2 linked regions of the Drosophila melanogaster genome follow. The protein of the gene in region 1 purifies or fractionates together with the protein of each later gene. This does not show direct contact. Each region holds a gene or a part of one and is shown in the gene's direction. Other genes may lie near its edges.

Region 1 (4,865 bases):
GAAAAGTCATTATTTTTCGCATAACATTCCAAAAAATGATCGGAGAAAAAAGTGATATGCCTTGTTGAATTCGTAATAAAATTTCCAATCGAACTGCATTCCAACTTAGAAATTGTATTTTTTTTTCAATTTTTCGCCAAAAATCATAATCCAAAATTTTAAAATTGGGTAAATTTTTTTTTTACCATTCAAAAAGTGTTATGTACCGAATCCCGTATATACGGGATAAATTAATTAATTAATAATATTAATTTTTCCGATGACAATGTAAATATTAAGTGCATGTATCCCTCGTCAGCTTTCCTGCTAAACGGCGGCTGTCAAGCATTCCAGCCAACTGCCACTTGGATACCCAAAAAGCCAGAGATCTTTAGGAGGAAACCAGAACAAGATCACCTCGGGTGGTCGGAGGACGTCACTCAAATTGAAGTCCGGCAAATGAGATTTGCCCGGCACCGGAGTGTAGAGCATGCAGAGAGGGCGAATGGAATCCATATCCGCAGCCCAATCTTCATCATCTTCGTCTGCGAGTTGAAGTTGTTGGATTTTTAATTAAGCGTGGCCTGCACCCGAGGCTTTTCGTCGAGTAGCTCTTCGGGACACGGGAAGTACGGCGATCTCGGCGGAACAGGTCTTGTTAGTAATTTTTAATTTGAGCTCTTCTGACAGCCAGCTGTCATATAAATTTAATTGAATTTACATTTTTATTAATTGCCAAGTCTGCTAGTGAGCCCAGTCTCGATCTCGTAGTGCTACCCGTTGGCATGAATGGGAGATGAGTTGCTTAAGCCGACTGGCTACTCATCAGACCATCAGCCCATCCACATCAACATCCCCATCCACTTCCACTCTCTGAATGAATTTAATTTGAGATGATTTGTTGATGGTTTCGTTGTGGTGATTTCTTGCTGACTAATTTAATGTGATTTTTAAATTGCCAGACCGAGGCAGAGTGTGTGGCCTGCGCAGGGGAATCAGAATCTCATCGGGAGATTGATTGGGCTCATGGGAGTGGGGGCAGCGTTTTTACGGAATTAATGAGATGACACGCCTCTCGCTGGGATGCGAAACCCCCTCGTGATCATTATGAACTAATCTAATTTGCAAGCCCGCGATGACAATCGAAGACGGAAGAGAAGTCCCCTCGATCCTTGCCCACCTGGGCAACAGCGCTAACGAGGACGCTTCTCCTCGAAGGCCCCCTCCAGTTTAATTCGCAAATCAAACAACCGCAGGGCAGAGATCGGAAATTCGCGCATAAGTAAATTAAAAATAAATTTATGTCCCGACCAGTGAGGGGGTCAGGAAACGCATGTCCAGAGGGAAGGAGCGTGTGTTAACCGGTTTCGGGACGAACGCGAATGCAAATCCAATTAAAATTTCGCAAGCGATCAATGGGCGAGGGGTGGAGGGCGGATCGCATCCTGCGAATGGCGCTAAGCCGTAAAACGAAGCTGTGCGCTGATTTAAAACACTGCGGGGCGTGCTTATTGATTAAATACAAATTGCGTTCATTCATCATCAGCTCTAGGGTCTGCTTGATATTGGTGTTTTTATTGTTGCTGCTCTGGCTGGCAATTAAATTACGATTTGAGGTGGATGCTACGCTCGTTTTGCAAATAAAATCCAATTTCACAGTCCTCTAAAATATAGGACTAAGATGCAAAACTAAGATGCAGTTTGAATCCCATCACATTTCGCGCCAAGGGCTGCCAACCTGGGTGAACGGTTTTGTGGTGTTAGTGCGATATCTTAGATATTTTCATTTAATCGATTCCTCTCGATAAGCCATCGATATTTTTTGTATAATGTCTTGCTTTGTTGTTTACAAATTCGTTTTTATGTTACGCAGTTCGTCCGTGCTAAATGATACACATGAAAGTAAATTGCATCAGATTAAGTTACATCGAATACTTCTCCACAATTACAGATGTGAATAATCCGCCAGAGGTGTTGTAAATTTATGAATACCAAGGGCTGCGTACAAAACAGTAGTGCAATTCAGTGGCAATGCCAGGCACCAGTGACACACGACGACTGGTGGACGCCCTGGACGAGGATGACGAGATTCTGGGCACGGAGGGCAGCTTCGTTCCCGCTTTTCGTCCGCAGGACCACCATGCGGATGAGCAATGTCTCATGGAACGCCAGCAGGACGAGGTAGTTTTGGTGTCCAACGAACCCGAGAGTGGACGACTCTTCACCTACCTCGTGTTCTACCTGTTGGGCATTGGTACCATGACCCCGTGGAATTTCTTTGTGACTGCGGAAGATGTAAGTTTAACGAGTGGAAATTTCCGCACCCGCATCCTAGTCAATTTAACTGAACTTCGGACATATCAATTCCAAACAGCTGAACAACTGGGCCAAGCGCAATTCTAAGGCGCGGTGCTTATCAGCTTTGTCGTCGTTTCTTTACGACCCACACCCAGACGAAAACTCTCTTTTTTGATTTTCTTTGTTTTCCGCTGACTTACGCTTTAACCCTGTTCGCTTCTCTTTCAGTACTGGAAGTACAAGTTCCGGAATGCATCGATTAATAACACAGACCTGGAGGAAGAGCTCACCCCGTTGCAGAAGAGTTTTACCTGCGACTTGGCTCTCACGGCCACTATTTCTGGGACTACATTTCTGCTGCTAAACGCCATTTTCGGACACCATGTGTCCCTGCGCACCAAGATGTTAGGAACGCTGTGGATGATCCTCATCCTTTTCGGGGTTACAACTGGCTTCGTGGAGATCAACACAGACACGTGGCAGGAACAGTTTTTCCTAATCACTCTCATCATTGTAGTGCTGCTAAATAGTGGGTACCATGAAGTACTCCTTGAGTGTTTACTTAATATTTATTATATATAGTATCTGCGGCTACAATGTCGGGAGCCCTCTACGGAGTCGCTGGTCTATTTCCCTCCGAGTTTATCACCGCTGTGGTTAGCGGACAGGCTCTTGGTGGTATCCTCACAGCCCTGGCCTTCATTCTTGTGCTTGCATTCGACACGGGTCCCAATACCACTGCATTCATCTTCTTCATTGTGGGAGGAGTGCTCATCCTGCTTTGCATTGTGTGCTACGTAATCCTGGCTCGAAAGCCTTTCTTTAGGTATTATCTCGAAGGTGGCGACAAGTACAAGGTCATCCGGGCAGTGCCCTCGCACAACCGGAATGGAAGCGCTGAGGGCTTGCCGCTTGAGCCTATTTTGCGTCAGGTCATGTCGAAGATCTATCTGCATGCCATTTCCCTAGCGCTCCTCTATACCACGACCCTGTCTGTCTATCCGGCAGTTACAGTGCTTATGCAGTCAGAGTACGGCCACAGCGTGTGGACAGGTAAACAGAAAACCTATTCTTTTTGTTCGTGCCTCATATGCGGTGTTCTTACAGATGTTTATTTTCTGCCCGTCGTGAACTACCTGATATTTAACTGCGGTGACTATTTTGGTCGTCTGTTTGCTGGCTGGATGGAGCGACCATTAAACCAGAACACTTCGCTACTATTTATTGTAGTGCGCATGGCGTTTGTTCCGTTATTTCTATGTTCAAACTCCAGCGAACACAGCTTTCTGCCAGTTTTGGTAAAACACGACTATACTTTCATAGCGATGATGGTAATGTTTGCCTTGTCCAACGGATATTTTACGAACATACTACTTATAATGGCGCCTAAACGCGTAAAGCAGCATGAAAAGGAGCTGGCTTCGTCGATAATGGCAGCTGCTTTGAGCTGTGGCATGGCTGTGGGATCACTGCTCAGCCTTGTATTTGTTCAAATGCTTTGAATTAGCCAACAAAATAAGTCTGCCCATAGTGCCTTCGGGAGTTTCAGAATCTTAAGCATTATAGTGATAGTTAACTTGATATTGGTTGCTCTTCCAACTACTTAGGGGGTGTTAATGTTTTTACTTTTGTTACAAGTCTACTGACTGAAATTATTTACACAGCGAAATTTTATTTAAATTTTTTCCAAAACGAAGTGTTATTTAATATTTTGAGTTATTTTGATGCTGTGTGTTGTTTTCCAAATTTTACTCATTTTTTATTTTAACAAGTTTACTATATCGGGATGCCTAGATTTAAGGTTTAAAGTTTTCATTATATACTAGGAATAAGACGATATTAAAAAAATTAGAACAATTAATTTTTCTTGTTTAACGTTTATTTCGGGTTTTCTGTGGATCACAACAACAATGTGGATAGATTTTATTGGATTGCTTTTGTCATTAATCATTGAATTAATTAATGAACTCCATCGTAGCGCGGTCTGTGAAGAGTTGTGTTTAAAATATACTTAGACTAGAAATCTAGTGGCGAATTGTAGTATGTGCATATATCGAGGGTATACTGTACCTATAAGTACACAGCAACACTTAGTTGCATTGCATAAATAAATGTCTCAAGTGAGCGTGATATAAGATCACCCATTTATGCTTTAAGCTAAGTCAGCATCCCCACGCTGGCCGCTGGCCATATATGCGCATAAGCTCTCTCTCTCTCTCTCTCTCTCTCTCTCTCTCTTATACATATATATATACGCTGCTCTTCTGCCGCTGTCGACGGCGGCGCAGTCGCAGTATTTAGGTAAGATTAGACACTCTGTAGAGGTTAAGCGGGCAGAACCGTTTCTGCTACTCGAAGAGATAAGAAGAAATAAAAAGGTGGCCTGACGGCTGCACCCAACTGCAAGGAAAACACGTGTTCTCAATTGGTGGCATATATTGGTTTATTACATGGCGACCGTGAGGCAGGAGCCTGCGATCTGAGGACTACTGAGGAAATGCTGCTAATATTGCCGATTTGATTTGGGAATTCTAAACAGCGACAACAGGTGTGAGAGGCAGGCCGCCCCTTACACCAGTGCGGGAGAC
Region 2 (4,357 bases), on another chromosome or scaffold:
ATACTTAGCACGCTCAAATAACCGGTTTACGTATATTTTGGTATAGGAATACAAATTTTTAATTTATTTTTTACCATAATAACATATTGTATAAATTCAAAAATAGCTGTGCAGTTCTTGACTGTGGCAAAGAGAACAAGCATTCCAGAATATTAGAATATTATTAGAATCCTAATATTAGCATATTAGAATATTATTAACTTATGTCAAAGAGAATTCTTAGTTACTACTCCAACCCTCGAAACGGTTATGTGCTGCTGGTGGATGTCTTGAATATTATACACAGTGCTTTCGAGACAGCCGTGACACGAACCGTTTTCGGAAAATAACCGGTTAGCAACTCGGTTTTTAAACCTGTCACAAAGTTCTTTTAAATTTTAAGTTTTTTAGTTTTGTTAATTAGAAATTCTCTAAGGTTATATATATTTAAAAAATGTTCTGCTTAGTTGTATTCAATGTCAAATCATTTATTATTTAAGTTATTCAACCGAAATAGCATTTATGCCGTTAGTCTCCTCCAATCTGTTGCATGCATTTGTTTTTGTTTATAAGTGACTCTCTGGGAGTCCTGCTGCGTATTCCGCTCTCCTGCTGAATAGGGTTCAGTGCACCTGCGCGGATAATTACGCCGGCTTTTTGCTCCCAATCGGAATCTCTCTAAGATTTTGATGCTATGGAGATGAAAGGCATTCCCCCAATTCGGGCAAGTATTTAGCCGCGTGGCAACAGGACAGCGTCCAAGGCTTAGAATGGAATGCGCTGACAGACTGAGGTAATCCTTTGATGGGAATTCGGAGGTCTGATTCCCCGGGGGGTCGTATCCAGCATTCGGAGGATTTCATTGTCGCTAAACTTTTCAATGGGGCTGATTGGAAAAGGGGCAAAACACGACTTCAACTGTGGGTTTGCATTCGAAAGTTCGTTTTTATGGCTCCAAATGAGGTTTCCAGTTTATTTATTTAGTTCGTTTTATGTTCTTCCAAGCCAGCGGAGTACTACTCAAGGGTGCTTCATTGTGTCAATAGCCTGAAATTGGATATGAAGTGCCTTCGATACTGTCAAACAGTAAGACAGACAGCTGCCATGAAGTGTACCCACTTTAATGGCTAAATCGAAGTTCAAAAGCGAGGGATTCCGGGTAAAAATAGTTTGAAAATTTGCATTCATTTCTATTCCAGCCATTAGACGGCGTCCGTTGGCTTGGTTTTCAAAAACAAACGAACTTCATCTTACGATTTGTGCACCAAAAAAAAAGAATATTCAAGTAACAAGAAATGTCTCAGACCATTTGTTTGTCTCTGTGTCTGAGCACTCGCCAAGATTTATGCCCTCTGTGATGGCAAACTCAGCGCACTCACATTATGAAAATGTAAAAATGTAAAATATGAAAATGTGGAAATTTGAATTTACTCCCCCTTCTCGTAGAGCTGTTTCTGCCATTTCCTAATTTTCCACGCAAATGCATTTTATTTATTACGCAATTTGGGGATTTGCACTGCCAGCCGCAATTGTAAGCGACATAAAAGCGCTTAGACTCCGACTCCGGAGCGTTAAACGAAGCATTAGCCCCAGTGGATTACGGCTAATACCATTGTGTCCCGAGACGACGGACGCTACGGGGCGTATACGGAATATCCCAAGGTACAACTCGAGATGTTGTCTGAAATAAATAAATATGAGAATAAAAGTGTTGCTTTTATGCAATGGCAAGGAATAACAACCGCATTGATGTATGCCATTACGATATTTTTAAACTGAAAACAACACAACTACTATGATAGTATTGATTTGATTTATTCTTTGTAACATTCGATAGAATTCGTTTTAAACTGTCAATAGAAACTGAATAAATCAATGTATGCCAAGTTTTAAAATGTAGCATGATTTCGTTTGAACTTTTAAATTGTAGAGATTTCTCTGAATTTCTAGCAAAAAGAAATCATTTTTACATGGATAACAAAAGAAAACCCAGCTTTTAATGTAGTTCCCTGCAGAACTGACAGCTATTCTAAATTTTCGGAAACCATGGCAAGACAGCGACTTCTCGGCTCGATCCTTTCCAAAGGCGGAGCCCAAGTGCTGCGAAACTTCCAGTCATTTGTCCAGGGCACTCGTTTGGAGTATGTCTCCTACACCTCGCCGCGCAATCAGATGCAGGCGCCACCAATTGTGGTGATGCACGACCTCAATCTGTCACTGGAATCCTGGCGCCAGGTAGCTGTTAACCTCAGTCAGGTTGGATTGCGCCAGGTGATCACCGTGGATGCTCGGAATCATGGCCTTAGTCCTTACATAACCGGGCATTCGCCAATGCACCTGGCCGCCGACGTGGAGGCCCTGATGAGCCACCAGAGACTGAACAAGATCGTTGCACTTGGACATGGAATGGGCGGTCGGGCAATGATGACACTGGCACTCACTCAGCCGCAACTCGTCGAGCGGGTCATACTGGTGGACATCACACCAGCACCGGTGCCCAGTAACTTCTATCTCACTCGGCAGGTGTTCGAGATGATGCTCCAGGTGGCGCCCAGTATTCCCTCAAATCTATCACTTTCCGAGGGGCGTACGTTCATCCTGCCACTGTTCCAGGATGTGGTCCACGACGCCTCCGAGCTGCGTCGCATTATTTACAATCTGCGCAAGATGCAGGACAACACCTTTGGCTGGGCAGTTAATCCCCAGGCGGTCCTAAGCTCCTGGGGGGAGATGATGATCAATTACGAGGCCACTTTGGGCGGACTGCGTCCCTACATGGGCGAAGTCTTGCTCATAGCCGGTTCCCAGTCGGAATTCGTGACCACGACCAGTATTGCCGTGATGCAGAGATACTTTCCAAATACAGTGGTACAGATTCTGGATGCTGGACACTGTGTGTATGAGGATCAGCCGGAACAATTTGTTGAACTAGTCGTGGAGTTTACTCAAACATGCTTAGTATGTTGAAGAAACACCTATTTGGTTATCGTTTAAAGTGACTTTTATATAAAATTGGCATTGCTATATTGGCTGATATTTCAGCACTCAATATACTCCACCGATAATTGCGCTGTCAGCAGAATGGAAACCGCAGAAAAAAAGGGCTGAATGGCATGACCATTTGTGGCGGGCGGGCTGTTGCCAAAATCGATGGGAAATCAACGTGGCAGGCAATCGAACCGATACCGAGTACCCGATACAGGTGCTCCAAGTGGAAGCCAGGAGGTTTGGCACACAAAGGCCAATCCCTCAACCCGCCAATTTGCCAATAAAGCAGCTGAAGACGAAGGTGAGGTGAAATGCGCCACAATGCGATACAATTTAGATTTATATGCTTTGTCTGATTTATTTGTATTGGACGTGTGGGCGATGGAGACGTCTGTCTGACTGGCTTTTGTGTGTCTGCTCGTGCCTCAAAAGTCGATAATCTGTGTCCCGGCGAGTGGGGTGCTCATCTACACCTCGGAGCAGCTCTTATTGCTGAAATTGAGTCATGACTGAGATTTGAATGTGCAAATGTACACAGCAGCAGCGACTTGAAGTTGTTTGCCCAAACTCCGTGCCTTTGTTCTGGCTTTAATGAGGATTACGTGAAATTTCATTATGCTTCGTAATAAATAAGTAGCAAGTCAAATAAACAGGGACTGGCAAACACACACACATTCCCACACACTCCGCAATGAATGTACATACCATCTCAACTGGATGTGCGTACGCACTACGTACCGAAACCATATTAAAATTTAGACACGTACACATTTTATTGCTTGTTATTTTGCCTCTATGTGTGGCAGCTGCATAAGCCCAAAATGCTGTGGCACTGTGGCACTGTGGCTCAACTTCCAGGGTTTTCTACTCCCATTCACATCTATGTTATGAGGCCTGCGGTCCTGACCTTAACTTCACCTGGGAGATTTGATAAAACAATATTATTTCCTGGAAATAAACGAATTACCCCAGCTGAATACATACATGTTTAAAACTATTTCAGCGTTAAATGCTTAACAAAACCAAATCTATGAGTATAAATGGCTATAATTGCTGCTGATGGACTTGGGGTATTATATCCTTATAAAGCCCCGTGCCCCGTAGAAGTGCAGTATAATACAGTTAAATACCTAAGTGCACTCATTCCATTAAAATGGATTGCAGCCTATGCTGAATGCGTGCAATTCATCTCAATTAAATGTGTATTACATTTTATGAATATTGATTTTCAACGCCCCCCTCCATTAATTCGACTTTGTGCGGGATGCAGATACTTCATACTTCATTGGCAGATATGTAGGTGGATAGGTGTTTTCGATACCCAATGCGCACCTGCACCTTCCGATTCGTGTCAGTTTATTCAGGTAGATTGCTGAGCTGAGCTGAGCTG

Evidence for each region.
Region 2: the proteins of Ent1 (region 1) and CG14717 purify together in Drosophila melanogaster (affinity purification with mass spectrometry, with the first as the bait; one large-scale study listed by BioGRID). This does not show direct contact.

The regions. Positions count from the first base shown.
Region 1 is NT_033779.5:354,832-359,696, reverse strand, and holds Ent1 (equilibrative nucleoside transporter 1), read left to right. Parts: upstream 1-1,822; 5' UTR 1,823-2,010; coding exon 2,011-2,274; exon of another isoform or gene 2,275-2,368; intron 2,369-2,505; coding exon 2,506-2,806; exon of another isoform or gene 2,807-2,859; coding exon 2,860-3,330; exon of another isoform or gene 3,331-3,384; coding exon 3,385-3,779; 3' UTR 3,780-4,132; downstream 4,133-4,865.
Region 2 is NT_033777.3:11,694,621-11,698,977, forward strand, and holds CG14717 (uncharacterized protein), read left to right. Parts: upstream 1-1,888; 5' UTR 1,889-2,025; coding exon 2,026-2,946; 3' UTR 2,947-3,707; downstream 3,708-4,357.